Linked DNA regions of Callithrix jacchus. The protein of the gene in region 2 binds, or shares a complex with, the protein of the main gene of each other region. Links are inferred from orthologs where the notes say so. Each region holds a gene or a part of one and is shown on either strand. Other genes may lie near its edges.

Region 1 (4,282 bases), on a different chromosome or scaffold from region 2:
TTCTCTGTTCATGCTCCCATGTATTGCCCACATAACTCTCAAAGCTGGACCTATTCCTGTCATCTTTGAGAGTTCTGTAGTGAGCTGGTACATAGTCCCATCGTTTCTGAAACTTCCACCAGCTAAGGAAGCATGAGAGCTTTTGAAACGGCTGTGTCGCTCCATATGAAACACAACACTAATGGCTGAAATGACACTCAATTCAGAGGCTGCTCTACCTCCCCGAACACGCGGATCTACTACACGACCACATGTATCGCGCTGGGTCTGCCAGCCTTTTTAGTGGCAGTTCTCTACTGTTGACACATTTGGCCTGTGGTTCCCAATGACTGCCGGCCAATTGAACTCCATCCTGTTTGCACGTTCCCACTTGTTGAAACAGTACAAGGCTGTCATTGTTTCATCAAGCATTTGTGAATGGCCTTTGTGTGAAAAGCACAGTGCTGGAGTTGCTTTTTTTTAAGGGACCAGTTTTAAGGGACCACCTGTGCATAATCATATACATCTGTTTATTTGCATGTTTGTGTGTATGTGTAACCACGTTTCTCTGAGCTTTGTAAAACATACCTGGAATCATGTACCCTCTTATTCCCTTAGTCTTCTGTGTGCCCCAGGCCCATGTCATCTGGCATAGATTACCAGTGCTACATAATGCAGCACTGCAGGGGATCTCTGTCATGGGAAATGACCACAGGAGACATGACCCAGCATGTTATTCTTCATGGAGTGCTTTGTGAAAGACCATGACTCTTGTAGCACCAGGCCAAGCTCTTTTTTAAGCTAAACGTTACTTAGGCAAAGAGATGCGTGTGTGTTTATGTGGCTGTGGCTGTATGTGCAAGTGTGTGGTTGTGTGTGTGCAAGTGTGTGTGTGTGTGTGTGTGTGTCAGGAGACTATAGAAGAAAGAATGGAAAGAATGAGATTATAGGTCTGAGGTGATATGGATAGAATCTGATTGCTCAGCTGTAAGGAATGGAGGGTGTGAACATGATTCACAGAGGAAACAGCAGGCGGTGGAACCCTGTACAGCTGGTCCCTGCTGGCCTATTTACTCAGGGGATAGACTGAATCTCATTTGGAGAAATACTCAGAGTTGCAGAAGAGAAAAAAACACCCTGAAGAGTAAGAAGTGCCTTGGGGAATTGAGGATGAGGACAGTGGACGTCCTGGTTAAACTAAATGCCCCTGACATGCCATCTACACCAACCATCCTCTGCAGCTCTGGCAGCATGCTACCAGGCACGGATCATTATTTAGTTTAAAAAAAAAAAGCAACTCTCTGCAGGATCCAATTACGTTCTTGGTTGGACACTTGAGCATTTGTTCTAAGGAGGATACACAGAGCCCAGGGCACAAGAGGGAGGAGGCAGTGGGCCTGATGCAAAGAGCCTGGGTTCACATCTCCACTCGGGGGAAATCCCTGAACCTCTTGATGATTCGGTTTCCTCACCTGCAAAACGAGCACAGTGACCGTACCTACCGTTCAGGGTTGCTATAAGTGTTAAAGATTATTTCAAAAATGCCCCTAGCACCAAGGGACTCAGTCAGCAGTAACTCTTTTGAAAATTCATGAGAGGGCTACAAGTTTTAGTAGGGTATTTACTGCAGCTGCGATCATCACCCCCCAACTGATGATCAGTTAGATAATCATTTCTTAATTCTCTAAACAAGATAAACAACAACCGTCTCTCCCACAGATGACATAGTGCAACTGACATTCCTCAAATAACTCAGAGGGTTCTACCTGCAGATGTGATGATTCCACCAGAGACAAGAAGCTTAATCAAACCCTCTGTTAAACTTCAAAGTTTAGGGGATATCATGGTAAATGTCGTATCAGACCGCGAAAATTAAACGAAGTCATGAAAAAGCGGACAAAGTGTCTGTTGTAAACAGAAACAGCTTCTTTTCTCCCAAAGATACTTAATTTTTTCCCCCTTCTTATCTATTTACTGCTGGGAACTGCTGAGCTTAACAAAGTAAACTTGGCTTTACTTATCAGAGCAAGCTCAGGAAGCCCTAAGAGGAGGGGCAACACAAACACTGGAGAATGAAATGTTCAACGAGAAGCCCAGAAGACAGCTTTCCGCCAACAACTCCCGGCTGCGGCGTGATCATTAGGCAGGCTCAGATATTACAGATACAAATGGGCATCTGCACTGTATGTGACTACAAACCCCAGCCATTGCCTGGAAGTCTACGACAAGGCAGGCATTCTAGGGTTCGAAGCGGTTGCTGGGATCTTTGCATTAAGCAATGATACAAAGAATGCACAAAACAGAACGTTACCCTCTTCTGAACTGCTCAAGGAAAATTCCTCACCCAAAATGAGATTAAGGGCCCAGTGCAGATAGGGCAGCCTTTCAATACCATCCAACACAAAATAGCATTTTATTTCATTCAAACCAGAATGGTTTCAGAATTCTTGTGAAAATCCAATATAGGCTGAATTTTCCTTCATACTATATGTAAGGAAAGATTAGCCGAGCAAATTAAAGATGAAAGGAATACTACAGGGACAGAACTTCAATAAACCTTAAGAATTTCAACGTACTGTCTGCAAGCAGATACTCTGGCTGTCCATCACACACACAGTGCATTGCGCACGCCTTACTGCGGGCAACAAGGCTGAATGCAATCGGGTCTCAGCTTACCTGCCAGCTTCAAGTCCAAACACTCCTTCATTCACTAGGCTCCAGTCGTGTTGCTTTCTTTTCCTGTTTTTTGAACCACCGCAGCTCATTCCCACCTCCAGGCCTTTGCACTTGCTCTTCTGTCTGCCAAGAACATTCTACTCTCAAATCTTCACAGGATCAGCTCCTCCTCCTTGTTCAGCTCTTGGCTCAAAGGTTACCCCTTAAAGTTCAATATTCCTCTGACTGTTCAGTTGTTCTCTATCATATCCTCAATTTCTTTTCTTCCTATCACCACCCTCTGGAATTCCGGATGTTCCTCTTTGTATAGTTACGTAATCACAGAACACCTCCACGAGACATTAAGGTCTGTGAGTGCTGGGGCTCTCCTTGTCACCACTCTAGCCTCAGGGTCAGGAGCAGGGTTTGGAAATCAAGTAGACTCCCAAAAATATTTATTAAAGGAAATTAATTACAAAATATCTAACATATCTGTTAAAGAATTTTCTTTTTCTTTTTCTTTTTTTTTTGAAACAGGGTTTCACTCTGTTGCCCAGACTGGAGTACAGTGGAGCAATCTCGGCTCACTGCAACCTCCACCTCCCAGGTCAAGTGATTCTCTTGCCTCAGCCTCCCGAGAACCTGGGACTACAGGCACGTGCCGCTATGCCCTGCTGATTTTTGTATTTTTAGTAAACAGGGGGTTTCACTATGTTGGCCAGGGTGGTCTCAAACTCCTGACCTTGGGTGATCTGCCCACCTTGGCCTCACAATGTGTTGGGATTATAGGCATAAGCCACTGTGCCCAGCCCTGTTAAAGAAATTTCTGAAAGACCTCTACCTAGAAACAATGTGAGGATATCCACATTATGTACTAGTGATTAACAAAACATCCTACTTTCCTAAACTTTATATTTCAGACTTTTCCCTAGTTTGAACTAGTGAGCTCTCTACCTTTCCATTATATATCTCCTCTATTCCATGTTATTTATCTAAACAGAGTAAAACTATCAAACTCTCTACACATATGATAAACTAAAATCAACATGCTGCTGATAGTTTTCTTTCCTTAGCATCACTGAGAAGCAGCAGAACATACTCCTGAAAAAAACCTCAGTCCCCAGGCTAATGTGGAGGGAGAAGCTCGATGGTGACTTGAACTCTCCCAACCCACGTAATCCTCCAGCATCTACAGGCTATTTGGGCCTTTGTCAATCACACACAAAGCTAGGAAAATACAGCCTGGGGATTCGATCTCCCTCCTACTTCCCTCCCTACCAGCCAATATTCCCCAGATCCAAATGACCAGTGTAGAACTTCTCTTTCCCTGTCTTAAAGAAGCAGTTCATCACATTATTTCCTTTTTAATTTCTGTACATTTAGAGATAAAGATATTTCTAAAGCAAGAAATGAGATAAAGTGCTAAGCACGAGTTCACTCACAGAATCCAGAGGTGCTGCTAATGTTTTTTTGTATATATTCGTAATTGTCTGCCTAGGTGTATATATTTGTGTCTATGAGAGTATACAGTGGGGGGATGTGTGTGGATATGTGCATTGATTTGGAACACTGTAAAAGTTGGGGTAGGACCTGTCACACTGGGAGACTCTCCATGAGCTAGAACATTCTGAGTAGGTAATACTCTATG
Region 2 (3,009 bases):
ATCTCCGAACTCTGTGGGACACGACTCTCTCCTGAGATCTGGGGTTTTAGGGTTGCGCTATACCTCTGCCTCACTCAGATGGTATTCCCCTCCGCTGAGATCGGAGCCCGTGATGAGACTGTGACCTGCTTGCAAATCGGGTGCTCAGTGCCGCTCGCTACTGCGGCGCTGTCCTTAGATCTCACGCCGGAGACTTCACTGTTTCCTGCCCCGCCCCACCTGAGCTCGTCAACCTCGCGGCTCCCACTCACCTCCCCTCAGCCCGGCAGAGGAGCCTTGGCGCCTCCTGTGGGTTCACCGGCCCCTTCCGGGCCCGTCCAGTGTGGGGCCTCCCTGAAGGACAGAGCTGGACCCCGGCCTCACCTGGACTCAAAGTCTTGCGTGCGGGTCACTGAGCACCCAGGGAGGTCAGGGTCCTAACTCAGGTCCAAGTTCAGGGTCTCTAAATCAGATTCCAGTCCCACTCCCAGCCCATCGCCAAGAACTGGAAGAGACAGGAGGAGTGTTACAGGGGAACTTTATTGAGAGGAAACATGATCACACCCAGCCGACATGCTTTCCCTCAATCTCGATCTTGCACTGGCAAGCGCACGCACACACACACACACACACACACACACACACACACAATCTCTAGCCCCTACCACTGTGCAGTTCTCAGGCACAAGGCGGGACACTTACTCCTCAATTCCTAACATCAGGCAGCAGGGGCAGGAGGGAGGCAAGATCGGGGAGAAGTAGCCTGGTCGTGGGGTCGGCAGGAAGCGGGTGCAGAGAGCAGGGGTGGGGCATGACCAGTGATTAGGTGTGCTCAACAGCTGCGAGAAGAGTGGGATCCCCAGCCCCAGGTGGCCTCGGCTCTGCCAGTCCCTTTCCATGGAACCTTTTGGAGCAAGAACAGCGCCTGGGGGAGAAGGGTGGGGCCTCTCACCCCATACTAGTCCTCTTGGCAGGGTGGGGTACTGGAGGGGGCAGGGCAGGGCCGGCTGGTGGCGGGCAACACTCAGCTCTGGGGCTCCTGGGGCGCCTCGCCCCCCTCTTCCCCGGCGTTGTCAGCCGTCCACAGGGTCAGGTTGTCTCGCAGCAGCTGCATGATGAGGGTGCTGTCTTTGTAGGAGTCCTCGCTGAGGGTGTGCAGATCAGCCATGGCCTCGTCGAAGGTGGTCTTGGCCAGCGAGATGGCCTCCTCGGGGCTGTTGGCGATCTCGTAGTGGAAGACGGAAAAGTTCAGGGCCAGGCCCAGGCGGATGGGGTTGGTGGGCGGCATCTCCTTCTTGCTGATGTCCATGGCCTCCTGGTAGGCTGACCGGGCCGAGTCAATGATGCGCTTCTTGTCGTCACCGGTGGCCACCTCAGCCAGGTAGCGGTAGTAGTCGCCCTTCATCTTCAGGTAGAAGACCCGGCTCTCGGCGTCCCCAGACTCCTGGATGAGGTGTCTGTCCAGCAGGCCCAGCACAGTGTCGCACACGCCCCGGAGCTCAGTCTCCACCTTCTCTCGGTACTCATGCACCTCGGGGCCCTTCTCCTCCGAGCCCTCCTCATTGCTTTTCTGCTCAATGCTGGACAGGACCCTCCAGGCAGCCCTCTGGCCACCCACCACGTTCTTGTAGGCCACAGAGAGCAGGTTTCGCTCTTCGCAGGAGAGCTCCTCGCCCTTCTCCACGGCGCCCTTCATGAAGGCTGCCATGTCCTCATAGCGTTCGGCCTGCTCTGCCAGCTTGGCCTTCTGGATCAGACTGGCTCTCTCCATGGCTCTGGGAACAGACAGGAGGGCGGCGGGTAACTGCTGCCTGGGACCAATCCCGGACTCTGTGCCTCTCCTGCTTTCGGCCTGCCTTTTGGCTGGGTGGCCAGGCCCTGAGAAGGGTGGGGAGGAGCAGGGGGCAGGACCAGGGCCCAAGACCTGCCTCCCTCTCCTCTCCTCCCCACACCCTTTCCGGCTCTGCATGAAAGGTAAAAGGGTTGGGATGTGGGAGTGAGTCATCAGGACAGTCAGCAGGAGAAATCTGGGCGTTGGCCCCACCTGCACAGGTGCCTTTCTGGGCTCCACGCTGCCCCCTCTTGTTCAGGACTGGCATTACATGACTGCCCACATCAGGAAGCTGCCTGGCTTCTCATATCAGATCCTCTTTCACAGTGCCCTTCCAGGGGCTAAGGATGGCTTTAGCCCCTGGCTGCTTCAGCCTTGATAGAGCTCATAAAGGTTCAGGAGGATGGGGTTCCTAATCCGGAGAGGTAACTTCCCCCGCTTGGTTCAGGGGAGAATAATTCATGTATAGGTAGGGCTATACAGTTTCTCAAGCACTTTTATATTCATGATCAACTTTAATCCCCTCCATGTCTCTGTGACATACACAGGACCATAGAGATGGGTACACTAAGTTTCAGAGAGGGGTGAGATTTGCTCAAAGTCACATAGCCACCAATTCCCTGAAACTCTTTTCTGCACCCTACCTCCTTTAGATTTTCTCCCATGAGGCCTCTGACCTATGAGCTCCAGGCTGTGTTTGGAAATGAGATCCAGGCTGCTTCCTCAGTCTACCTGAAGACAGTTCCATCCCCCAGATGGGTCCCCTCTGAGCTCCCAGAATGCACAGGTGGCAGCTTTCGGAGTGCCACTTAATAAAGTGTTTAACAAGCAGCCTCTGACGCTCCAGCCCAGCCTTTGTAATTAGTCACCCAGTAGGTTTGTTGAACACATTTCCCATCACTACACAATTTTCCCTTTCAAGTTGGTGGCCTGTTGCCACTTGTTTGAGGACTTACCCTCTGGCCCTCCATGCCAGGTCACCTGCCCTCTCCAAGCCATATGCCATCAGGTACCAGCGGGGCTTCCAGAGGGTGGGGTCCAGCTCCCCAGCTGTCCCACTTTCCTGCCTGACTCAGACTGCCCTCTTGTCTGAGGCTGGGAAGCAGTCCAGTTTGATCCCCCAGGGGGGACGCTAGCAACCTGGGGAGGGAGAGGACTGAGGAAGGTAGGTGGCAGTGACACATATCATTCTGTTTTAT
Region 3 (4,034 bases), on a different chromosome or scaffold from region 2:
GGCAGGAGAACTACTTGAGCCCAAGATTTTAAGTCTGCAGTGAAGCAGAGTGAGACCCTGTCTCTAAATTAATTACTTAATTAAAAATAAAAGAAAATGTGGTATACATACACAATGGAACATTATTCAGTCATACAAAATGAAATCCTGTCATTTGCAACAGTCTGGGTGGGACTGTAGGTTATTAGGTTAAATTAAATAAGCCAGGTGCAGAAATAAAATATTGCATAGTCTCACTCATATGTAGGAGCTGAAAAGGTGGATATCATTGAGGGAGAGAGTAGAATGGTGGTGACCAGAGGCTGGGAATGAAAGGATGGGAGGGATGAAAGAAGGTGGTTTAATCAGCACAAAAAATATAATTAGATAGAAACAATTAAGTTCATATACAATAATATAGTAGGGAAATTACAGTTAATAATTTATTGCATATTTCAAAATAGCTAGAAGAAAGGAACTGTAATATTGCCAACACAAAGAAAAATGTTCCAGGTGATAGATATTCCAGTTACCCTGATTTGAACATTACACATTGTATACATGTATCAAAATATCATATGTAACCCCAAAATATGTATAACTATGATATATCAAAAATGAATTAATTAATTACTTTTAAAAAGACTCTTCCTTGTTTTCCAGCATACTTTGCTTCTGGTACCCTCTTGGCAGAAATATTAAGTGACACTCATAACTACTCCAGACAAGTATGCCCAGGTTTGAGCAATTTCTAAAATTAAGAATTAGGTGGTGAGTATGTTCCAGGCACTCTTGGGTTCTCAAGTGTAGCACTGCCTTTATCTGGACGCTGTAGACCAAAGCCTACCCAGGTTCTGACTGTCCTGAGTGTTATCAAGCAGGAGTGACTCTATCAAGTACAGAGTCGAGGGAATTAAGTTGGCCGGAATCAGGCACTTCTGAACACCAAAGCAGTGGCAAGTAAGAAGGGATGATGTGAGTGCAGGGCAGGAAGCACTATAGGCCAGTGCCCAAAGAGTGACTCATATTCCACAGGCAAAATTCCGACTTTGACTCTTAAAAGAACAGCATCTTTATTATGCCTCCATCTTTTCTTGGTTTGGTTTTGATATCAGCAGGAAAATCTATAATAGTCAAACGGAAAATATTTCACAGTTGAAAACAAATTAAAATATTTCTTCCAGATATAAATGTCCTTGTATCAAAGAAGCTAGATGGTTCACCCAGACTAGATACAGCTAGCTACAGAGATAAGCATGAAGATAAAGACAGACGCACACCGATTTAAAGATTGACATGTCTTACATCTCTCAAGCCTCGCAAGTATTAAGAAACATTGGCTTGCTGACTCCACCTCCGTGGCATTCAAAGTTCAATTCTCTTTCTCCGCATGAGTTAACTTAACACTTAGATGACAAAACAGATGTCAGTTCCCCAAATCTCAAAGTGCTCCAAAGGAAGTTATCACCTTGGCTTATAATTTTGTTTTGACTGGAAATCAATCTTAATTACCATTTTAAGGCCCCCTTTAAAAAATATATCCAAGGTATTTAGCAAATTTCTGAGTTTCCAATAGTACATATTGTGAAAGTTTCACTTTTACACGCATTTTTTATGACAGCAGTTGCAAATTATGAGGAACTCATAAGACATCACTTTCTTTAGAGACTACAAGGTATACTCTAACTGAAGGCTAGATATCTGTCTTTGAGTTTAAAAATAAAGTGCTGAGCTCTACAAGAGTTTGCCAGTGACTAAGTGGCATTTTATCACCATTAGTTATTCCCCTTTTCCAAACTGTTCATAATCCTTTTATCTAGGACACACCCTACATTGGGAAGATTCTTGGAATAGGTCTAAACACTAATGAATTCATCTTGCCAATAACGGGACTAAACCTGAACCCATTTCTATCCCCCTACTACACTATCCATATTGTGGGTTTCATAAAGTTACTTCTGAAAGATACTCAGGGAACATGTACTGGGGCCCTTTACCAGTTTACATTGTCTAATGATTTAACAATGTTCCCATCTTAAAATCACTGTCAGAGGTTCCTCAGGCCAAATTTCGGGAATAACCAAGAACTCCCGGGTATATAACACTGCCAGTAAAACGTCTCCTTCCAAATAGAAGGGGGAATGAGTTGAAGTGAAAACAATGTCTTTACCTGCTGCACACTCGCGACTCTCATATACGAGTCCAAGACGATCAACAGAGGAACGTGGATATTTTTGCCTTGAAATAACTTGGAGGCTGGAAAACAAGGGGGTGAGGAAAAGAAGCAAAGTCACAATCCACAGCACTCCCTTTCCTTTAAGTCTGAAAAAGGGAGAAAAGTCAAAAAGGTGAACGCGAGACCTCTCTGGAATTCTCAACTCTACTCAGCCCTAAGGAAAGGATATGGGAGTTTGAGGCTCCTTAAGAGTCCGGGTTTGAGCAGCGTCAAGGGAAGGAGGACGAAGTTTGCAAAAGTGAGGAGGGGGTGAAAGTTTGCAAAAATAAATGCAGTTTCCTTGAAAGTGATTACCGTGCTCGGAGTACGTGAACACCAGCAGATCCTCCAGGATTTGGACCAGCGTTTCTATCTGTTTTCCTTCCTGGACGTTGTTCAGCCTGACTATTAACTTCTTCAGAGTTTCCTCGTCCTCCTCGCACACCTGACTGCTGCCACTAGCCATGGTGGCCCCTGCTTCCAGCCCGCAGCCCTCCCAGCACGAACGTCCGCTACTCCGGGAACCGGCAGGGGCGCCGGCCACAGCTTCCCGGGGGCGAGCACAGCTCACCTCACCGCCCGCAGCCAGCGCTTCCCGCGGGCCCCATCTGCACCCACGCCCGCCTGTTTATGAGGAAGGCGGCGGCTCCCCGCCCCGCGCTGCCCTCCCTCTCCGGAGCCCTCCTGCTCGGCTTCCTCCTCCCCCACCCAGGCCCCAAAAACTAGCTCAGGGGCCTGCCCGAGTCTCGGCGGAGGCGACGGGCCTCCCAGAACCCTGGCGGCGGCCGAGCGGCTGCTGGAGCCGGGCCTGGCCGGGATGACCGTGACCGTGGCCCCCACGCCTGCCTAAACCCGACCCCGGGCTGGCGCCGCCTCCTGGGACCAGATTCCACCCCAGCGGCGGCGCGGCCGCGAGTCGCGCAGGAAAAAAACTGACTCGGCTGACTCCGCTGAGGCCCCAGGCCCCGAGCCCCGCAGCGGAGGCGCCACCCTCCGCTACCCGCCAGCGGGGGTCCCTGAGGCCCCCACAGAAGGTCTGGGAACTGGGAGCAGGAAAAATGAAAGCCGCCTATCTCCAGATCTAAGAATAGAAATCAGGGCGTTGGGAAAACAGGACACCGCCCAGATGGCCCCTTTTAGGAAAACATTCTCTTTAGAGTTCCCCCTATAGGGAATCGAGTAATTTCCCCCAAAGGACAGAGAGAGGTTAGCTTTCAAAACTTGCCTGCTACTGTCTTTTTTATGATTGTGGTGACTGTTCGTGGGAGAGGAAATAAACATTGTTTCTCTGTGAGTTATCTGAAACTCTGGTCACCACAAGGCCCCTAAATTAACTTTTGGAAATTTGAGTTGCACTAGGCAGGATCCTAATGGTTGGGACACCCGAAAAGTAATCAGCTCTCAGAGCTATTAGAACTAACATGGAAGAACAGGGTACATTAAATGAAAGGTGAAAAGGTGAGAGAAGCAAACCTAAGTACTTTTCTCTTGGTATTCAGAATTACTTATGAGTGTCCATCACCCCCAAGTTTTTTTGTTTTTTGATGTTTGTTTGTTTGTTCTGTTAAGTACCTAAGTAATGTGTTTTCTAGGAGCAACCAAGCAGGAACATTGTAGACAAGGCTAGGCAAAGATGATCTACCCTTCAGGTGATGTGTCTGTCCTCAAGTTCATCTACAAAGAAGAGGATTGGTCTGGAAGTTAGTACTTCACAATTTTAGATTTGTTTTCACATGTTATTTCAATCCTGATGACAATTCTGAAATGGATAAATGTATCCTTCTTTCACTAACGAGGAAATTGAGATTTGGAGTTGATAAGTGAAGAGCTTTGCTGGATT
Region 4 (3,934 bases), on a different chromosome or scaffold from region 2:
TGTCCACAGTTCAAGTCTCAGGGCTTTTCCTTCACCAAATGGGGAAATCTAGAAGCTCTCCTGGTACTGTGCCAACCCCCCATGTCTTTTCTTTTTCTCCTCCCTTTCCTTCCCCTTCCTCCCTCCCTCCTTCCCTTCCCTCCCTTTCTTTCCTTCCTTCCTTTCTTCCCTCCTTTCTCTCTCATTCCCTCCCTCCCTTCCCTCCTTTCTTTGTCTCTCTCGTTCCCTCCCTCCCTCCCTTCCTCCCTCCCTCCCTTTCTTCCTTCCTTCCTTCCCTCCTTTCTCTCTCTCATTCCCTCACTTCCTCACTCCTTCCCTTCCTTCCTTCCAAGGGTCTCACTCTGTTACCCAGGGTGGAGTGCAGTGGCGAGATCATGTCTCACTGGAGCCTCAACCTCCTGGGCTGAAGCAATCCTCCTACCTCAGCCTCCTGAGTAGCTGAGACTAGGAATGGGCCATCATGCCTGGCTAATAAAAAATCTTTTTGGCCAGGCAAGGTGGCTCACACCTGTAATCCCAGCACTTTGGGAGGCTAAGGTAGGCAGATCACCTGAAGTCAGGAGTTCAAGAGCAGTGTGGCCAACATGGTGAAACCCGTCTTTACTAAAAATACAAAAAAATTAGCTGGACATGGTGGCCGATGCCTCTAATCCCAGCTACTCAGGAGGCTGAGGCAGGAGAATTGCTTGAACCCGGGAGGTGGAGGTTGCAGTGAGCCCAGATTGTGCCATTGCACTCCAGCCTGGGCAATGAGTGAAACTCTGTCTCAAAAAAAAAAAATTTTTTTTTTTTTTTTGGTAGAGATGGGCCCTCACTATGTTGCCCAGGCTGGTCTCCAACTCCTGGGCTCAAGCAGTCCTCCCATCTTGACCTCCTCAAGTGCTGGGCTTACAGGCATGAGCCCCTGTCACCGGCCAGAGAGACTTACTATTAATATTTGAGGATTGGGGAGAAAACACAGTCCTCTCTACCCCAGCTGTCTCGGACTGGGGTTACATCAGCCTTGAGTCAGCAGCCTTTTAGTGGGGGGCAGTTTTGGGGTGTGCTCTGTCCCCTACTTTGCCAGCTCCCCAGAACCTCTCCTCTTTGGTCACCTCTCCCATGGTCAGGGTGGGGGTTGGAAGTGAGGACCCCCAAGTGGAATGATGGGTAGTACATAACTAGAAGCCAAAGTTGGGGGTGGGTGGGAAATGGGAGATCTTAGGAGGAGTGCCGGCATCGAGTGTACCAGGACCTTAGATGCCCCGTCCCAGGCAGTCGCGTGACATTTGGGGAGGGAGGGAGAAGGGACGGGAATTTGAACTTTCCACACGGGTCTGACGCCCCGGCCGATCGGGTTGCAACAGGACCTGGGCCCGGGGCCAGAGCTTGTGGGCCAAGGTTACTCTGCCTCCAGCCAATGGGGTCGCAGCTGGGCAGCAGCGGTTGGGGACAGGCAACACTCCCCCCTCCCACCCAGTCCCCACCCCAGCTCCCGATCCCCTGCAGGGCGGCAGGTGCCAGAGTGTAGCCATCGGTTCTCAGAACAGGAGGAGGCGCCGCAGAGGAAAGATCAAGGCCGGCCGATCCCCCTTTCTCCCCTACGGGTTTTCGGTTGATAATTTATCCTGGCCCCTCCGCTCCGGGGAACTTTGCTCCAGGGCACTGGGCCAGGCCTCGGGTTCGCGCCCTCCTCTGGGACGTGGGGCGTGGAGAGGAAGCCGGGCGCGGCCGGTGCGCTCTAGGAGGCTCTGAGCTGGGGTCCCAGGCAGCGACAGGCGCTCAGCCTAGGGCGGTGACGCGGGTAGGCGAGCCCAGGCTTCCCTCCCGGGCACCGGCGTAACCTCTGCAAGCTGCGCCTCTTAGACATTTCTGGGACACCCTCCTTTCTCCCGCCACCCTTGACGCAGCACATCAAGAAGAGGTGTCTCAGCAATTGCGGGGAGGTGGATGAGAGACTAGGCCAGTTTGAGTCCACTTTGGTTATGTATTGGGACAGCCAGGGGAGCGGCGAGTATCTCAGGGCGCAGGAACTGGGCGGGCCTGGGCCGGGGCTGCTTGGGGGAGGGCCGAGGCCTGCAGGGGGTCGGGTGGAGTGGCTTCAGAGTGGACAGTGGGGATGCGCGTGGGTGGCCTAGGGACCTGGGACGCCTGGCACTTTGGAGGGACGGAGGAGCCGGGACCAGAGAGGGGCCCCGGAGGTCCAGGTGGAGGTGGGGCGCAGGCGGTCTGCGCCCTGGGGAGAAGGAGATGGGGGAAGAACGGGAATCAGAACTGCGCAGGTCCGCTGGGGGCCAGCGGGCTGGGCCGCGGTCAGAGGACCCCGGTGCTGGGGGAAAGGGGTTGTCCAGGGCGTGATCAGAGCCTCTAGGAGCTGCCGGGCCGGGCTCGGGTGGGGTGCTGAGGACCCCAGCGCGCAGTCCTGTCCCGGACCCCCCCTCCCCACCCTCCTCGACCCTCGATGGCCGGGCCCGTCGACGCCCAAAGCCGCCCTCACCTGTAGGCCAGGCTCAAGCACTCGAAGAGGCGAGTGAGTGTGGGGTCAATGCTGCGCGGCCCGAAGTCGGAGAGCCCCACGGAGCCCTCCTGGTCGCGCCGCCGAGGCAGCGAGTCGCTGTGTGGGGACGACACCATGAAGTGACCGCTGTGGATCACCTGCGAGCGGAGCAAGCCGCCCGCGCCGCGCCGGAGGCTTGGGTCCTCCGAGTCCGTGTCCGAGTCCGAGTCTGGGCTCGGCACGACCCGCGGGACCTGCAAGCCCGCGGCCAGGCCTGCCAGCGCCCCGGCCATGACTGTCGCCGCCGCCGCCACCGCCTGGTCCCGGCTCCGCGGGGAACTGCTCGTGGGCAGACTGGCCTCATTAACATAGCCCCGCCCCTGCCTCGTAGGCTGATTGGGTGGGCGGGGCATGGGGCGGGGCGGGGCTTTATTAGCATAATCTGTGCGCCAGGTGAGAACCCGCGGCCCTGGCGCTCCCCCGAGTTGGGCTTATCTCCCCTGTCCTGGGAGTCCCTGATAGAACAGCCCCTACTTTGGTCCAAAGGGATCTTAAGGGTCAGGCCTGGCGCCAGGAGCTCATGCCTGTAATCCTAGCACTTTAGGAGGCCAACGCGGGAGGATGGCTTAAGGCCAGAAGTTCAAGACTAGACTCAGCGATATGGCAAGACCCTCCCCCATCTCTACAAAAAGAAAATGCAAAAATTAGCTGCGCGCAGTGGAGAGAAGCTGTAATCCCAGCTACTGGGGAGGCTGAGGTGGGAGGATCCCTTGAGCCCAGGTGTTCGACAACGTGGCAAAACCCTGTCTCTACAACACATACAAAAATTATCCGGGCATGGCGGCGTGCACCTGTAGTCCCACGAACTCGGAAAGCTGAAGTGGGAGGATCGCTTGAGAGTGAGCGGAGATCTGCACTCCAGCCTGGATGACAAAGTGATACCCAGTCTTAACAACAACAAGAGGGTCCCCTGTCACACCTGAGCCTGAAGGCCCCTCAGGACCTGGGGTTTGTGCTTTCAGGGACACCCTCTTGTGAGTCCAGAGGTCACCACCTCCCCTCACCTAACTCCTGTGTTCCACCTACCCCCCATATTAGCGCTGGGTCCTCCACACAGCTGGAAACCCTCACCTCTCAGGGGCCTTGTGTGGTGGGTGCGAAGCAACGCCCCTGAAGGGCCTGGCCCGCAGGAGGTTATTAATACCTCTAGTTAACATGGTGGCCGGGTGCAGTGGGTCACACCTGCAATCCAAGCACTTTGGGAGGCCAACGCAGGAGGATCGCTTGAGGCCAGGAATTCGAGACCAGCCTGGCCAACATGGCAAAACCCCATCTCTACTAAAAATACAAAAATTAGCCAGGTGTGGTGGTGCGTGCTTGTTATCCCAGCTACTCGGGAGGCTGAGGTGGGAGAATCACAAGTCTGGAAGGCGGAGGTTGCAGTGAGCTGAGATCTTG
Region 5 (4,300 bases), on a different chromosome or scaffold from region 2:
TGTGCTTGCTGAATCTTCAACAAGTGATGCGGACACAGTTTCACCCTCACTAATTGGCCCATGGTACCCTGTGTGTCAGGAGGCACTATAGCTCTGAAGAGCAAACATTGGCAAAGGCTGCTCTAGGAACCCCAGCAGGGCCAGCAACCTACTTGTCTGTGGGTCAGCCTTCCACTTGTGTAAACACAGACCCACCGATGGAGTCTGAGTCACTGCTTTTGGTGGGGGTTCCAATTTTCTCAGACCTGAATAGGACATCATTCTTGGATCACCTACGCTTCAGGGGCCCTACCAGTCCACTACTTACATCAGTGCCTTTTCACTTCCCATGTTGAACGTTCTGCTTCGTTTGTTTTCACCCCACCTTCATCTCATTTAAAAGACTAGGAGGCTCCATCGGGGACCATATAAGTTATTTTTAGCCAATGTCCTACTACAGTGTAATGACTGAAACCTCCTGAGCATTTGGGGTGCACGAGATGAAGAGGAGAATAAGAAAGACTTCTGATAGAAAAAGAACAAATACGTGGACTATTCTGGTCCTTTCTAAGACTTTTGCTTTTGGTGAAGAGTTGGAGGGCTAGGGAAATAGATGTGGAGGAGGGGAGAAGAGAGAGTGGAGGGTTGTACCTGTATTTTTCAGCTAAAAGTGTTTGTGCCTTCTGAGTTCAGCCTAGGGTGCTTTGATTCCACGAGGATGGAGGAGGCTATAGATAAATAATTAACAGACAGTATCAAAATCTGTCCACCTTTCACCATTTGCAGTCTCCTCACTGCAAATGTGGAGAGGTGCAACTCGGCGGACAAGTGTTTGTGTCCCAAGCGCAGTAGGGCTGTCTGCAATGGCCTTTGTCACTCAGTCATGAGCATCTTCCACTTCTTTTTCTTCTCACCTCCCACCTCCTGTCCCCACTCCTCAAAACCTTTCTGCATCCACCTTTATGACTGAAACTGACAGGTTTCAGAAGCCATTCCACTACTGTGACCCAGCCACACCAGTTCTTGCATCGGGAATAAACAGGCTGATCTATTGGTCCATGGCCTATGTACTTGACACAAATCATTAGAAAAAACAGAACCTTAACTCTTCTGTGCCCAAGATTTGCTTCCTATGTTTTATAACTGTGCTTTAGGGTGGGAAATGTTTTTGTTTTCATAAATGCTTATGAGGCTTCTAGACATAAGACCCTATTAAAATGTATTTAAAGGGATTGTAGTTCAAATCGATATGCATAGATATCGGTTTCCCACCTTGCCCTGTTGGACTTGTCAGCAAAACATCTTTGAGGTCTTGAAGTTGTCCCAGAGCCTTGGTCTGAAATAGATCCTGAACGGGCACCCTAGAGGGCGCACTGCTTACATTTTCTGCAAACAACGCAGAGCGCTCACTCCCAGGCTCCACAAAAGGGGAGGAGGCAGATCAGTTTCCTCCTCTCATTGAGAAAGCAGAGGATTGGAAGGCCGGGAGTATAAAGCCGCGCAGAGAGCGTGAAACAAAGCAGTCGGATCGGAATTGGACTTGGGAGGCCCGGTGAGGAGTCAGACAGAAAACTTGTTGGAGGGGAGTAACGAGCCGGCTCCGCTAGCTCTCCTCCTCGTCTGCGCCGCGCTTCAGGGGTTTTCCATCAGCCTTGCGATTTATTTTTATAACGAAAGACATATAAACATATATATAATTTTTCTTCATAAGAGAAAATTCCTGTTCCAAGAGAAAATAAGGCAACATCAATGAAGGAGAGAAGAGCCAGCCAGAAATTATCCAGCAAATCTATCATGGATCCTAATCAGAACGTGAAATGCAAGATAGTTGTGGTGGGAGACAGTCAGTGTGGAAAAACTGCGCTGCTCCATGTCTTCGCCAAGGACTGCTTCCCCGAGGTGAGTTGGCCCGCCGCGGCTTTCTGGAGGAGGTAGGCCCGTGGGATCCCCGTCTTGAGGTGGGCTTCCCCGCTTCCACCCGTTTTTCCTTAAAAAAAAAAAAAAAAAAAAAAAAAAAAAAAGTCGTCTTTCTCAAACCTTACTACTTTCCCCTGGTTAGACTGCGGGGAAGGAGAAAGTGCGCTGGAAGCTTCAGGGCTGGGACGCGCCTGCACATGGGCTGGTTAGCTCCTGAAACTTGTTCCTGTGTGCAAAACCCGGGGTTGGAGATTCGGGTCAGCATGTCCGTGAGAGCAGGGCGGAGCGAGAGGGGAGCAGGACAGGAATTTCGGAAAGGGTCTATGTGCTTGGTGTGTGGTCTGATGGGTGTGAGGGTTTTTTTTCTTAATTGGGGAGCGGGGAGGCGATTTTCAAAGGGTGTTCAATCGGTTTCGTGCGTTTTAAGATAACCTCTTCGCCCTCTTTCCTTCCTCTTTTGCCCATTTTGTCTATCCAGAATTACGTTCCTACAGTGTTTGAGAATTACACGGCCAGTTTTGAAATCGACACACAAAGAATAGAGTTGAGCCTGTGGGACACTTCGGGTAAGAGCGGTAGGACCGCGTGGCGCTTGGGGCGGGTTTCCAGCCGCTGGGGGATGAGCGGCGGGTCTCGGTAAACCGCGCGCTGCAAGCCGTCTGCGCCCCTCCATTAGCTTTGCCCCTTCGGAGGGATTCCCACGGTCTCTGCTGGGCGAAAATTGTATCCCTTCTGGGTGGGGGCGGCAGACGGCAGCGTGGACGAGGAAATGGCAGTGGGGTGAGGAGGGCACTGTGTGCCCGCAGGCTGACCCCGCGGTTGGAGCCACTAGTGGCCAGGTGGCCGGGCACAGTCTGCCCGCGGAGCCGTGGTCTGGTCGCCTTGGGGCGGCCGAGGTGGCCAGACGCTGGGGGGTTTGCGGAGGCTCCGCTTGCGCCCCCGCGGAACCACCCGGCTCGCGGCGGGTTCCCTCCTGATCTAACCTGATGGTTGGCTGGGAGGTGGGGGCCGCCGCGGGGGTGGTGGGAGGCGGGAGAAAATCCCCGAGGCGACGCGGTTACATGCGATTGCCGCTCTTGAGGGAGAGAAACTGAGCGCAGGCAGCCGCGGCGCCGGTGACGCCTACAGCCAGGAATGCGCTGGCGGCGCAGGGGCCGGGCAGCCGCTGGGCTTCCTCTTTGAGCCGCCGGCCGCCCGCGGCGCCTCGGTGCCCACCTGTACCGAACCTCCCTTTCTCCCCCACTCCATCCCAGTGATCTTGCCGTTCCCCTCCACCACACCAGCCCCTCCTGACCTCTGTTGCATCCCCACTCTGCTTGCCTCCAAGTCCGCAGGCAATACTATTCGCCTTTGACCTTCCCGTCTACTTGAATTATTGGCGCCGCGGTGGGTTATATTCATGGGTCTGAGGTTCAAGGCCGGGTTATTGCTTTCCCATGCGCCCACCCACCTACCTGGCGCGCGGTGTTAGGGAGGGCTGGGTACCCTACCGGTGGGAAGCCATCCGGCTCCCCGGCTGAGTTAGGGGTTTGGGCCAGGTCAAAGACCGTGGCGTGGCAGAGGGGCACCATCTAAGGTCTTGGCCGGGGACCCAGGCACCCGCCGCCCTAACCAGCGGTGTCCGGCGAGTCTGTTTCCAAGAAGGGTGTCGCCTCTGGAAAAGCAGGAGTCATTGGGAATGCTGGGTCAAGGCCCCTGCTTAGGGCTGGGAGTTTAGCCGGGAGCTGGGTTGCTAGTGGACGGAGCCAAATCCGGGGTGAAACTGGCGAGGAGGAACGCGCAAGTGCCAACAAGCAGGTTTGCTGTCAGGCGGGGAGGCCCCGAGGTGGAGCCGCGCCCAGCGGGGAGTGGCCTCATGGAGGTGCTTCTGTGAGCTTCCCACAACTCTAGGCTTGAACCGCTGGAGCCCCCGAGGGACGCGGGGGATCTAAGAGCATGAGGAAGGAACCAGACTGACAGGGTCGCCAGAGGCGGTCCCTGCACAAAGGCAAGCGAGAAGTCTCGCAAGAGCGAGCGCCTCTCACGGTCGGTGCCAGATGCTGCGACTGCTGCAGTGAGAAGGGCTGATTTTGTTTCCCCCTAGAGAGTCAGGTTCTTCTTTGAGCCGTTCCAAAGGCAGCAGAGTCAGGACTTTGCCGCCTTGTTTTGTGTTGGGAATTGTACACAGACTCGAAACCATAGAGAAGGTGTTGGTAGACAGAATTCAAGTGATTCCTTATTTCAGTAGTTCCTGTCATCAGAATTATTATACAGCCTCGTACTTAATGGGCTCTGATTCCTAGACACATCATGGTATGTATTAGTTATGCCTAGTGGATGTGACAGCTGGTGTGGTACCAATAATAAGCACCAGTACTCCCTGCCCCCACCCGCAGCCCTGTTTGGACCTAATGCACGATAAAAA
Region 6 (4,167 bases), on a different chromosome or scaffold from region 2:
GTCTAGAAGGATGAGTAGTGTTGGATCAGGCAAAGAAAGGTGAGGGGACTAGCATGTCCAAAGAGCCTCAGGTAAGAGTAAGAGAGCACAAGTTGGATGCATCTATAAATAATTCAATAGTGAATCAAAAGAAATCAAGATATGGAGATATCCACATGAAATGTCCAGCAGGCAGGTAAAAATGTAGGTTTGGAGCTACGGACAACATATCCAGATATGAAATACACTGTATTTTCAATCTTGTCTTAGAATCATAGTTATTGGCTATTTAAGAATTGGAAGAACCTTACACATTAGCTAGATTATGTATACTTCCACCTTCTTCTATCACTTACTGCAAAAGTATCTCTACCTTAAATTCAAAAGTTGGTTTACGTAAATAAACAAAGAGGACAAGTGGGGGTTGTGGTAAGGTGGAGATACATGCCTTGTCTAAAGAGGACAACCATTTACTCACCTCCAGCAGTTTAGTGCCTTGCTGGAATACAGGCCCTAACTAGCAAGAACTTCCTATTCTTCAAGAAAAGCTGAAAATTCAGATTTTATGTAATATCTCCCATTTTCAAATGCCAGCAACTAATTACATTTAAAAATAAAACAACACTGTGCCAGCCAAACAAAATGCTTCTAGGGACAGATTTCAGCAAGGGCCACCAGCATGGCAGAATTAAACAAGGTCTGTCAACTCCTACAGTATTCTTCCACTACTTCAAAAGATCCTAAGCTGATAGCTTGGTGATTCCCCCGGGATAGGAGCTGTTTTTGCCTCTAAGCAAAATGGCCCCTATTTGGCAATGCTTTATGAGTTCCTTTACAGGTTTTTAAACAATTTCCCTGTCTTCCCTTACCCTACCTGGACATCAGCTTCTGGCAGCACAGAGACCTCCTAAACCCCTTCCATTACACGCTAAGAAGTCAAACTTGCAGGTAAAGCAAAAGTAAGTAGTGAGAACCTGACGGGATTTCTAAGGATTAAAGTACATAAGACATATGGCGGCTGGGTGCAGTGGCTCACGCCTGTAATCCTAGCACTTTGGGAGGCCGAGGTGGGTGGATCACCTGAGGTCAGAAGTTCAAGACCAGCCTGGCCATCATGGTGAAACCCCATCTTATTTAAAAAAGAAAAGAAAAGGATATATGGCATCTTTTTGGTTTTCTTTAAAAAAAAAAAAAAGAAAAATCACATAGGTGTTCGTGACTAGTCAGACACCTGAAGGGGAAAATGTCAGTAACTTAAGTCAGAAATACATAAGCAAATTCTCCTAACAAACCAAATAGTTTCCACTGTAAGATAGCAAGAGGGACAAGAGAACAGGGCAAAGGGGAAAGTAAAAGTTACTGGCCTTTAAGCACTATCAGACACCTTTTAATGCTTAGCATAAAAGGTACAACATAATCTCCATTCTTAGTAGAAGCAAAACTATATGTTAACTAATTAACATGAAAGAGTCTTCGAGCAGCAAGAAACAGATTTAGAAACACTCTTAGATGAGTAAAGCAATCTTTGTAGAAAAGGTAAATGAAGAAAAGGAAACAAAAATAGTCTAGTACACTGTTGCTCTAGAAGCTTTAAAAATGTAACATTTCCTAATTATACTAAAACATTTAAAAACACAGCAAACTTAAACATACAAAGACTAAAAATTCTTAACAAGCCAAATGACAGCACCAAGAATCTCGAATGCCGCAAAAACAAAACAAAACCCCTGAAATTGGTAGCATGTGCACCAGCCCCTGTTAATCCGAGGAGCAGGGGAGATCAGGAGAACAGAGAGTGATTACTGAGGACGAGCGGAGCAGGCCACGCTCCTGCTGGCAGGCGAGCTCGCAATTCCTTAGAGCAAGCGTTACGGCCAGGGCATTCTCAAGCCACTAAAACGAGCATACTGGACACCTAAAACATGAGGCTGACAACAGCTCCGGGCTAAGACCGAGAAGGCGGAAAAGTGGCCTGCTTTGACCTCCACTGAAAACTGAGGCTTCTCCAACCGTTGTCTCGGAATCAAAGGGCAAAGCATTCACCTCTCGGGGTTGGATTATTCGGAGCAACTGCCCGCGGCTCCCCGCGGCCTTCCCACACTACGGGTGGATGTCAACACTGAGAGCCAGCCGTGTGGGGGACCTCCCCGTGTGCGCCGTCCTTTCGGAGACGCGGCGAGACAGGGAAGAAAGACGGCCCTGCGCGCGCGCCCCGCCTCCCCAGCCCTTCCCCTGCGCCTGCTCGGCGCCCGCGCTGGGGGGCTGCGGCCGGGAAGCGGGGTCCGGCGTGCTCCTCACCTTTTTCAGGGCAGGCACCAGCAGTCCTCGCCACTTGGGCGCGTTCTCTTCGCTGAAAAACTCGTAGGGCAGCTGCTGCGCCTGCATGGTGCCCCCAGGGCGCCTCTGGGCGGGGAGAGGGGCGGCGGCGGCCCGGCCGGGGAGCCGCGAGAGGGCGAGCTCGCTGCGCGGAATAGGGCCGCGGCCCCACCGGACGGCCCGGCCCCCTCCGGGCGCCGCGCAGCCGGGCTAGCCCTGGCGAGGGGGCTGAAGGGCGAGGCCCACGCCCAGCCACCCACCCGACACGGGTACTAGCCGTGGAGAACGAATGCGACCCGGAGGCGGCGGCATCCCGCACCACCGCCCCGGGGCCAGGCCCCCCCGCCCCTCCCTGGCCCGCCGGCGCCGCCCCGGGCGGCCCGCTACACCGCCGCCGCCTGCCGGGGCTGCACTCCCGGGTCCGGCCTGGCCCCGCGGCAGAGCTGGCGGCTGGGGGAGGACGTGTGGAGGGACGCTCTGGCCGCGGCGCCCGCTCCGCGCAGTTGAGACTCCGAAACGCAAGAGCCCTCGGGTGGGGCGGAGCTGGGGGAGGGGGTTTCGCGGGGAAGGGGAAGGACCCGAGGTCGTTGTTGGGGAATCTGGCTGCCCTGAGGTGCCGCCGCTGCCGCCGCCGGTGTAGCGCTGGAGCTTCCTACTAGCAAACTGAACCTGCGCGCTACTGAGCATGCGCTGCCGGGCTGGGCTGGTTCGCTCCGGGTTTTCCGGCTCCCGGTGAAGGAGGAGGGAAGCTGGGGGCGGGGGGAGTGGGGAAGGGAGGCAGGGCGCCTGACCGGGCTGTGGTTGCGCTCCTGGGGACTCCTGAGGAGGGGCGAAAGGGCCCGAGAAATCGAACCCTGGCAAAGTGGGGCCTGCAGAGGGGGTAAGAACTACGGTAAAGAAGCCCCCACTGTGTGGTCTAGCCGTGAGGGCTCCTACCCCTCTCTGAGTCCCTGGGCCTTTCGTTTCGGAAAGGGGCGTGTGTACTTTGTTCCCGAACACAAAGATAAGGACTGCCCAGCACGCAATGTATAGTAAACAGACCGGACAAAATATACAGGTGCTCTGTCTCGAAACCTACTGCTAAGTATCTGCTGGGCAATAGAAGTGATCGCAGTGTTTTTAACTGGTCTTTCCACGTCATCAAGAATAAAATGTGTACATGTAGTATTGATTTTCTGTGTGTGTTAGATTGCATTTGTTCATCTTTTCAACCCTCTCCAAATATGAATTCCAATAAGCACTTTCCTCCAATGGATACTGAGACCTCTTCTAAAGCTCCCAGAACACTGCACTTATTCCTCTCTCAGGGCATTTGGTCTATAGTGTTTTGTATCTTTTGTGGTTCTTTCAACTACATAATAAACTGGAAGGCAGATTTTTTTCACCAGGTCCTCCACACAGAACAGGCACTCAGTGAAAGTGGAATGCTAAAGGACCGGTATATATAAACTGTCCCTCCAGGCCACTGTTTATAATAGTGGCACTTTGTGGCAGACACCTCATGGTTTATCATTAATGATCACTTCTGGAGTATCATCTGATTTAATCCCCATAGCAACCCTATTATTTTCATTTCACCGATAAGAATGCAGTTTAGAGGAACTAGCTTGGGTTGAAGCTGACATTGTGTCCTGCTATTCCTAAGAACAACAGCCAGGATCACGTAGATGAGAAATGTTCAGTGGTTCATAATCTTTACAGGACCTCTGTGAAAATCTGAAAAAGAAAAAAAAAAAAGAAAGTCTTCAGTTATTTCCTTTAAAAATATACAGGCCAGTGGGCAAGGTGGTTCATGCCTTATAATGCCAGCACTTTGGGAGGACAGGGTAGGTGTATCACCTGAGGTCAGGAGTTCGAAACCAGCCTGGCCAA
Region 7 (3,973 bases), on a different chromosome or scaffold from region 2:
CTTCACAAACAGAAAAACCTGCACCAATGAATTAAACATTTAAAACAAGATGACTCTCTAAAAAGTATTTTCAACCAAGAAGGAAAGACAGGCCGTCCTGTGCTGGCACTTCCTGTTGCATATGGCACTGAGAAATCCTGTTTTTTCAGCATGCAGAGATTTGCAGACAAAGAAAAATATCAAGGGGAAAATTAGAGGAGGAGGTCCAGAGAAGCGAGACAGGAGAAGCTGGGGAGAAGTCGGGGAAAGGAGGAGACCCCTGCCCAGGGCACAGGGGTATCAAGCCCTGAGGGGTTCAGGAAACAGACCACCCCTGAGCTAACACACTGGCCTTGAGAGGTCTAAGGAGATGGCCCTAGAGAGGCAGCCTGCCTCACTGGGACAAGTGAACCAGAGACACTACCCTGCCTGCTGCCACGCGCAGGTTATCCACCTCTCTACCCAGATGGAGGGACCGGCCCCCTCTCCCACAGGTCTCGAAGTACAAAGTCTGGGAGTCCTCCCTGCCCCCAGCCCTAGAGGGAACACTACCCCTGGGACTCACCAGAGACCCTGCTCTGTGAATAGCGCCCTTGGGTATCCCTGTAGTCTACCAGCAGGACCCCCTCTCAAGACTGGGGCTCAAGTTCCCTGGTTCTCTGGGCAATATCTAGACCAGCCTTTCCCACTGTCACAGCCTAGGGAGTGGGCAGGTTCTGCCCTGCCCCCACTCTCCACCTCTACTGAGAGCAATTGAGGGGCTGCCACCCCCACCACAAGCACCAGAGAGCAAACTCTCTCCTCTCAGGGGCCTGGAAAGCCCAAGCTCCAGAACTGGAACTCAGGGAGGAAAAAAGGAGCCGGAGGAAGAGAGATGAAATCTGAGCTCAGAGGAGTGTGGAGGGGGCCTAGGGGGTATGGAGGGTCAGTGACTCCCACCCCCCAGGCGCACTCCCCTGCCACCTGAGTCCCTCTAGGAGCCATGGGTACCAGGCCAGCCCTCTCCAACTCCCAGAGAGGTAGTAAGTGTAAGGCTCAGAGCCCCGCGCAGCCCAGCCCGCGCCGGGGCGGTGGGTGGGTGGGTGTCTGCTATGGGATTATTCTTAGCGCTCCACTCTCTTCGCAAAAGTGGCGCCTCCGCCCTCCCGGCTCAGGCACACTCGCTCTCGGGGCTCACACGCCTGGCCCAGACACCAGCGCGTTGGAGAGCACCGGGTGGGGTCCTCGAAGGGTGAGGCTCGGAGGCGCACCGCAGAGGTGAGGGCTCCCTAGATAGGAGGGGGCGCTGCGGGAAGGACCCAGAGGGAGGCTGCGTTTAACCCTCGACGCCCTGTACCCAGCCCTGCGCCGCGCGCTCTGCCGCCTTCCCGGACTCCTCCCGGGGCGCGGGAGCCCGGCGGCGCGCCCAGCCCTTACCTATGGTGGTGATGACCGTGATGGCAAAGTAGAAGGAGCCGGCGAATTTCCACTGGACGCCGGCGCGGTGCGGCTCGGACTGCAGGATCACCAGCTCCAGCTGCCGGTAGTCCTCGCTGCTGATGTTATACTTCCCCTTGATCCGGATCTCCTCGGCTTTGAGTTTCTCCTCCTCGCGCATCTCGTGGTCCGACTCCAGGGCGTCGAACACCGCGGCGCCCACCAGCAGGTAGGTGAAGGTGCAGACGATGAGGGACAGAGTCCGCACGTTCTGCCTCTTCATGGCCGCCAGCAAGGAGCCGGCGCGGGGGGCATGTCCCGCAGGCTCACAGCCGCGCGCGTCCCACTGCAGCGCCCGGCGGCCGCCGCCGCCTCCTCCTCCGCCGCCGCCGCCGCCGCCTCCAAGTTGTAAGCGGCGGCGGCAGCAGCAGCAGCAGCAGCGGGGAGGCGGGGGGCGGGGAGGCTGGGGGGGGGGCCCTCCGCTGGGGCCGCCACAGCCACCGCCACCGCGAGGCGGCTGGCGGGGCAGGGGCGGCGCGGGCCCGGGCTCAGCCGAGAAGGCGGACAGGCACAGGAGGCTGCTCGAGCGCCGGGGCCAGGCGTCCGGGAACCCCGACACCCTGCGCCAGACCCGGCCGAAGCAGCCCGCCCCACTGCGCAGGGCCATGCAGGGCGGCCCCGCTGGGTACCGCGCGGGCCTCGCTGCCCTCCGCACCCCGCCCCCCGCTCTCACGGGAAAAGCAGGGACGGGAACCGGGGCCAGAAAGCGGCCGGAGGGCGGCCGCGGGGCCCCGCAACCCTGTGGGTCCAGCTCGCGGTTGGCGGCGCCCAGAAAGAAGCCTGCAGGTCCGCGCGCCCAGCGGGACCTGCTTCCCCTTTTACCCCTCCTCGCCCCCTCTCGGTGGTGGGGAGGAAAAGTTTGCGAAGTGGCGGTGTCTCTGGAGTCCCCTGCAAGCGGGGAGGGGGCCAAGCAGGTGCAGCGGGCGGGGCAGCCTGCTCCCCAAAGGTCCGAGAGCCCAGCGCCCACCCGGGCGCGCGGGGGCGCAGCGGGGTCCCTGCCGGGCGTCGGCCGGTGCGCGAAGTTTGCTCGGCTCAACCCCCAAGGCGCGGGAGCCGGGCTCGGCCCCAGGACGGCAGGGACCGCGATGGAGTGGCTTCGGGGGCGGCCTGGGGACGGCGCGGTGGCGGTCGGCCAGCCCGCTCCTCCGGGGGCGGCGGGCGCGGCGGCGGCGGCGGCGGGAGGGGTCCCGCGGGCCTGGTGGAGCAGCCGAGCGGACGCGGGCGCATGAGCCGCGCGGGGGTCGGGGCCCTCCGGCGTCCGAGCGTCCCGGGAGGCGGCCGCTGCGCTGGTCTGCCCCAGGCGCTACGTGCGTGCGCGCCGTTGGGAGCCCGAGTGTGTGTGTGCGAGTGTGTATGTGAGTGTGCGTGTGTGTGTGCGCTTGGCAGCCCCGCTCCTGCGGGAGGGCCTCGGGGAGCGGGGGCCGGGCTACGCCGAGGCCGGGCCTCCCTCCCTCTTTCCCTCCCTCAGCCTCCAGGGCGCGCCACCTCCCGCCTGGTCCCCAGCCAGCTGGCGAGGCTGCTGTGGCAGCTCCCGCTGCAGACCGAGCTCGGCGCAGGGCGCACGCGGAGGGAGCCCGGGAGGGGCGGCCTGAGCCTCAAGGGAGGGGACGGGGGCGGAGCCGCCGGCCAGTTTTGGCGGGGGATGGGAGGATAAACGCGGCCTCTTGGGTGCTTCTAGCCCGGCTCCCCAAGAGCGCAAGCAGCCCTGGCTGGTGGAGAGTTTGAGGGACTCAGGGTTGGGGGAGACAAACGGGATTCAGCCAGAGATGGCAGACTGGCAGCTTCAGGCAGATCGGGTGGAGAGTGGGGAGCAGAAAGGGAGGGGGCCATGGCGCACCGGAGCGCGGCGGCAGCGGTGCACGAGGTCTCCCCACGCCCCCGCCCAGGCACCCGAGGTGGGAGCGTGTCGTTGGCCAGGGACATGGCCTCGTGGAGTGGTGGGGTCCCGATGCTGACTCTGTTCCCTCGCCTCCCACCGGCACAGCCCGCTTGGCCCAGCACCTGCAGACCTGAGTCGTTTCCCCTGGAGAGCGCTAAGGATAGCATGGGCTGCCACTTTTGGAGTCAGGACAGCGGGGAAACACATCGCCATCCCCCGACCCTCTGTTGCTTTACTGAAAAAAAAGAAAAGAAAAGAAAAAACACCCTGGTTCCCCACAGCTGGGCACAAGTTGCGCCCCGGATGCAGCCCTGAGCCACGCGGTAGCCCTTCTCGGGACCACCGGGGGTAAGAACGCGAGGCTAGGGCCGGGACGCACCTATTCCTTGCTTCCAGATGAGGCCTCTCTAGGCTTTATCTCCTTCCCATTTCGGCCTCCTCCCCCTCCCCGCCCTCTCCCTTTAGGCTTTCAAGGGGCTTTCCCTTGACCACCAGCTTCCTCAGTCCAGCCAGGAGCAGTGGAGTTCCAAACCGACAGACCCAAGCCTCAGAGACCCCGGGGCTCCCCTTTCTCTCTTGACTCCAGCCAAGGAAGAGATGGAGATGGGAAAGTGTCGCCTGGCAGCGGGATAGCAGCTG

The links.
Region 1: the proteins of SFN (region 2) and ESRRG are in contact, whole or in part, in a crystal structure (PDB 8BJG), measured with the Homo sapiens proteins. The link is inferred for Callithrix jacchus from reciprocal best matches to the Homo sapiens genes SFN and ESRRG. Residues at the interface, in NP_006133.1 of Homo sapiens: Asn42, Ser45, Val46, Lys49, Arg56, Arg60, Arg129, Tyr130, Glu133, Gly171, Leu174, Asn175, Val178, Glu182, Leu222, Asp225, Asn226, Leu229, Trp230; in NP_001429.2 of Homo sapiens: Arg175, Arg176, Arg177, Lys178, Ser179, Cys180, Gln181, Ala182.
Region 3: the proteins of SFN (region 2) and LRRK2 are in contact, whole or in part, in a crystal structure (PDB 5MYC), measured with the Homo sapiens proteins. The link is inferred for Callithrix jacchus from reciprocal best matches to the Homo sapiens genes SFN and LRRK2. Residues at the interface, in NP_006133.1 of Homo sapiens: Lys11, Glu14, Glu39, Asn42, Leu43, Ser45, Val46, Lys49, Asn50, Arg56, Arg60, Phe119, Lys122, Arg129, Tyr130, Pro167, Ile168, Gly171, Leu174, Asn175, Val178, Tyr181, Glu182, Asp215, Leu218, Ile219, Leu222, Asp225, Asn226, Leu229; in NP_940980.4 of Homo sapiens: Lys907, Ser908, Asn909, Ser910, Ile911, Ser912, Val913, Gly914, Glu915, Phe916, Tyr917, Arg918.
Region 4: the proteins of SFN (region 2) and MLXIPL are in contact, whole or in part, in a crystal structure (PDB 8BTQ), measured with the Homo sapiens proteins. The link is inferred for Callithrix jacchus from reciprocal best matches to the Homo sapiens genes SFN and MLXIPL. Residues at the interface, in NP_006133.1 of Homo sapiens: Gly53, Arg56, Ala57, Arg60, Gln67, Arg129, Val178, Tyr181, Glu182, Lys214, Thr217, Leu218, Gln221, Leu222, Arg224, Asp225, Asn226, Leu229, Trp230; in NP_116569.1 of Homo sapiens: Arg117, Ile120, Arg121, Asn124, Trp127, Arg128, Ala129, Trp130, Tyr131, Ile132, Tyr134.
Region 5: the proteins of SFN (region 2) and RND3 are in contact, whole or in part, in a crystal structure (PDB 7OBC), measured with the Homo sapiens proteins. The link is inferred for Callithrix jacchus from reciprocal best matches to the Homo sapiens genes SFN and RND3. Residues at the interface, in NP_006133.1 of Homo sapiens: Lys49, Arg56, Arg60, Lys122, Asp126, Arg129, Tyr130, Glu133, Gly171, Leu174, Asn175, Val178, Glu182, Ile219, Leu222, Asp225, Asn226, Leu229, Trp230; in NP_001241667.1 of Homo sapiens: Asp236, Lys237, Ala238, Lys239, Ser240, Cys241.
Region 6: the proteins of SFN (region 2) and SOS1 are in contact, whole or in part, in a crystal structure (PDB 6Y44), measured with the Homo sapiens proteins. The link is inferred for Callithrix jacchus from reciprocal best matches to the Homo sapiens genes SFN and SOS1. Residues at the interface, in NP_006133.1 of Homo sapiens: Glu14, Asn42, Ser45, Val46, Lys49, Arg56, Phe119, Lys122, Arg129, Tyr130, Pro167, Ile168, Gly171, Leu174, Asn175, Val178, Glu182, Leu218, Ile219, Leu222, Asp225, Asn226, Leu229, Trp230; in NP_005624.2 of Homo sapiens: Arg1158, Pro1159, Glu1160, Ser1161, Ala1162, Pro1163, Ala1164, Glu1165, Ser1166.
Region 7: the proteins of SFN (region 2) and KCNK9 are in contact, whole or in part, in a crystal structure (PDB 3P1P), measured with the Homo sapiens proteins. The link is inferred for Callithrix jacchus from reciprocal best matches to the Homo sapiens genes SFN and KCNK9. Residues at the interface, in NP_006133.1 of Homo sapiens: Lys49, Arg56, Arg60, Lys122, Asp126, Arg129, Tyr130, Glu133, Gly171, Leu174, Asn175, Val178, Glu182, Leu222, Asp225, Asn226, Leu229, Trp230; in NP_001269463.1 of Homo sapiens: Lys369, Arg370, Arg371, Lys372, Ser373, Val374.

The regions. Positions count from the first base shown.
Region 1 is NC_133520.1:12,250,234-12,254,515, reverse strand, and holds the start of ESRRG (estrogen-related receptor gamma), read right to left. Parts: upstream 2,801-4,282; 5' UTR 2,745-2,800; coding exon 2,656-2,744; intron 1-2,655. UniProt on the Homo sapiens protein: Orphan receptor that acts as a transcription activator in the absence of bound ligand. Binds specifically to an estrogen response element and activates reporter genes controlled by estrogen response elements.
Region 2 is NC_133508.1:63,511,942-63,514,950, reverse strand, and holds SFN (14-3-3 protein sigma), read right to left. Parts: upstream 1,814-3,009; 5' UTR 1,751-1,813; coding exon 1,004-1,750; 3' UTR 501-1,003; downstream 1-500. UniProt on the Homo sapiens protein: Adapter protein implicated in the regulation of a large spectrum of both general and specialized signaling pathways. Binds to a large number of partners, usually by recognition of a phosphoserine or phosphothreonine motif.
Region 3 is NC_133510.1:35,491,794-35,495,827, forward strand, and holds the start of LRRK2 (leucine-rich repeat serine/threonine-protein kinase 2), read right to left. Parts: upstream 2,801-4,034; 5' UTR 2,661-2,800; coding exon 2,510-2,660; intron 2,236-2,509; coding exon 2,150-2,235; intron 1-2,149. UniProt on the Homo sapiens protein: Serine/threonine-protein kinase which phosphorylates a broad range of proteins involved in multiple processes such as neuronal plasticity, innate immunity, autophagy, and vesicle trafficking.
Region 4 is NC_133503.1:10,062,235-10,066,168, reverse strand, and holds the start of MLXIPL (carbohydrate-responsive element-binding protein), read right to left. Parts: upstream 2,801-3,934; 5' UTR 2,770-2,800; coding exon 2,477-2,769; intron 1-2,476. UniProt on the Homo sapiens protein: Binds DNA as a heterodimer with MLX/TCFL4 and activates transcription. Binds to the canonical E box sequence 5'-CACGTG-3'. Plays a role in transcriptional activation of glycolytic target genes. Involved in glucose-responsive gene regulation.
Region 5 is NC_133507.1:79,914,800-79,919,099, forward strand, and holds the start of RND3 (rho-related GTP-binding protein RhoE), read left to right. Parts: upstream 1-1,500; 5' UTR 1,501-1,728; coding exon 1,729-1,878; exon of another isoform or gene 1,879-1,966; intron 1,967-2,374; coding exon 2,375-2,462; intron 2,463-3,350; exon of another isoform or gene 3,351-3,663; intron 3,664-4,300. UniProt on the Homo sapiens protein: Binds GTP but lacks intrinsic GTPase activity and is resistant to Rho-specific GTPase-activating proteins.
Region 6 is NC_133515.1:75,898,036-75,902,202, reverse strand, and holds the start of SOS1 (son of sevenless homolog 1), read right to left. Parts: upstream 2,801-4,167; 5' UTR 2,365-2,800; coding exon 2,278-2,364; intron 1-2,277.
Region 7 is NC_133517.1:57,814,637-57,818,609, reverse strand, and holds the start of KCNK9 (potassium channel subfamily K member 9), read right to left. Parts: upstream 2,801-3,973; 5' UTR 2,063-2,800; coding exon 1,396-2,062; exon of another isoform or gene 1,136-1,395; intron 1-1,135. UniProt on the Homo sapiens protein: K(+) channel that conducts voltage-dependent outward rectifying currents upon membrane depolarization. Voltage sensing is coupled to K(+) electrochemical gradient in an 'ion flux gating' mode where outward but not inward ion flow opens the gate.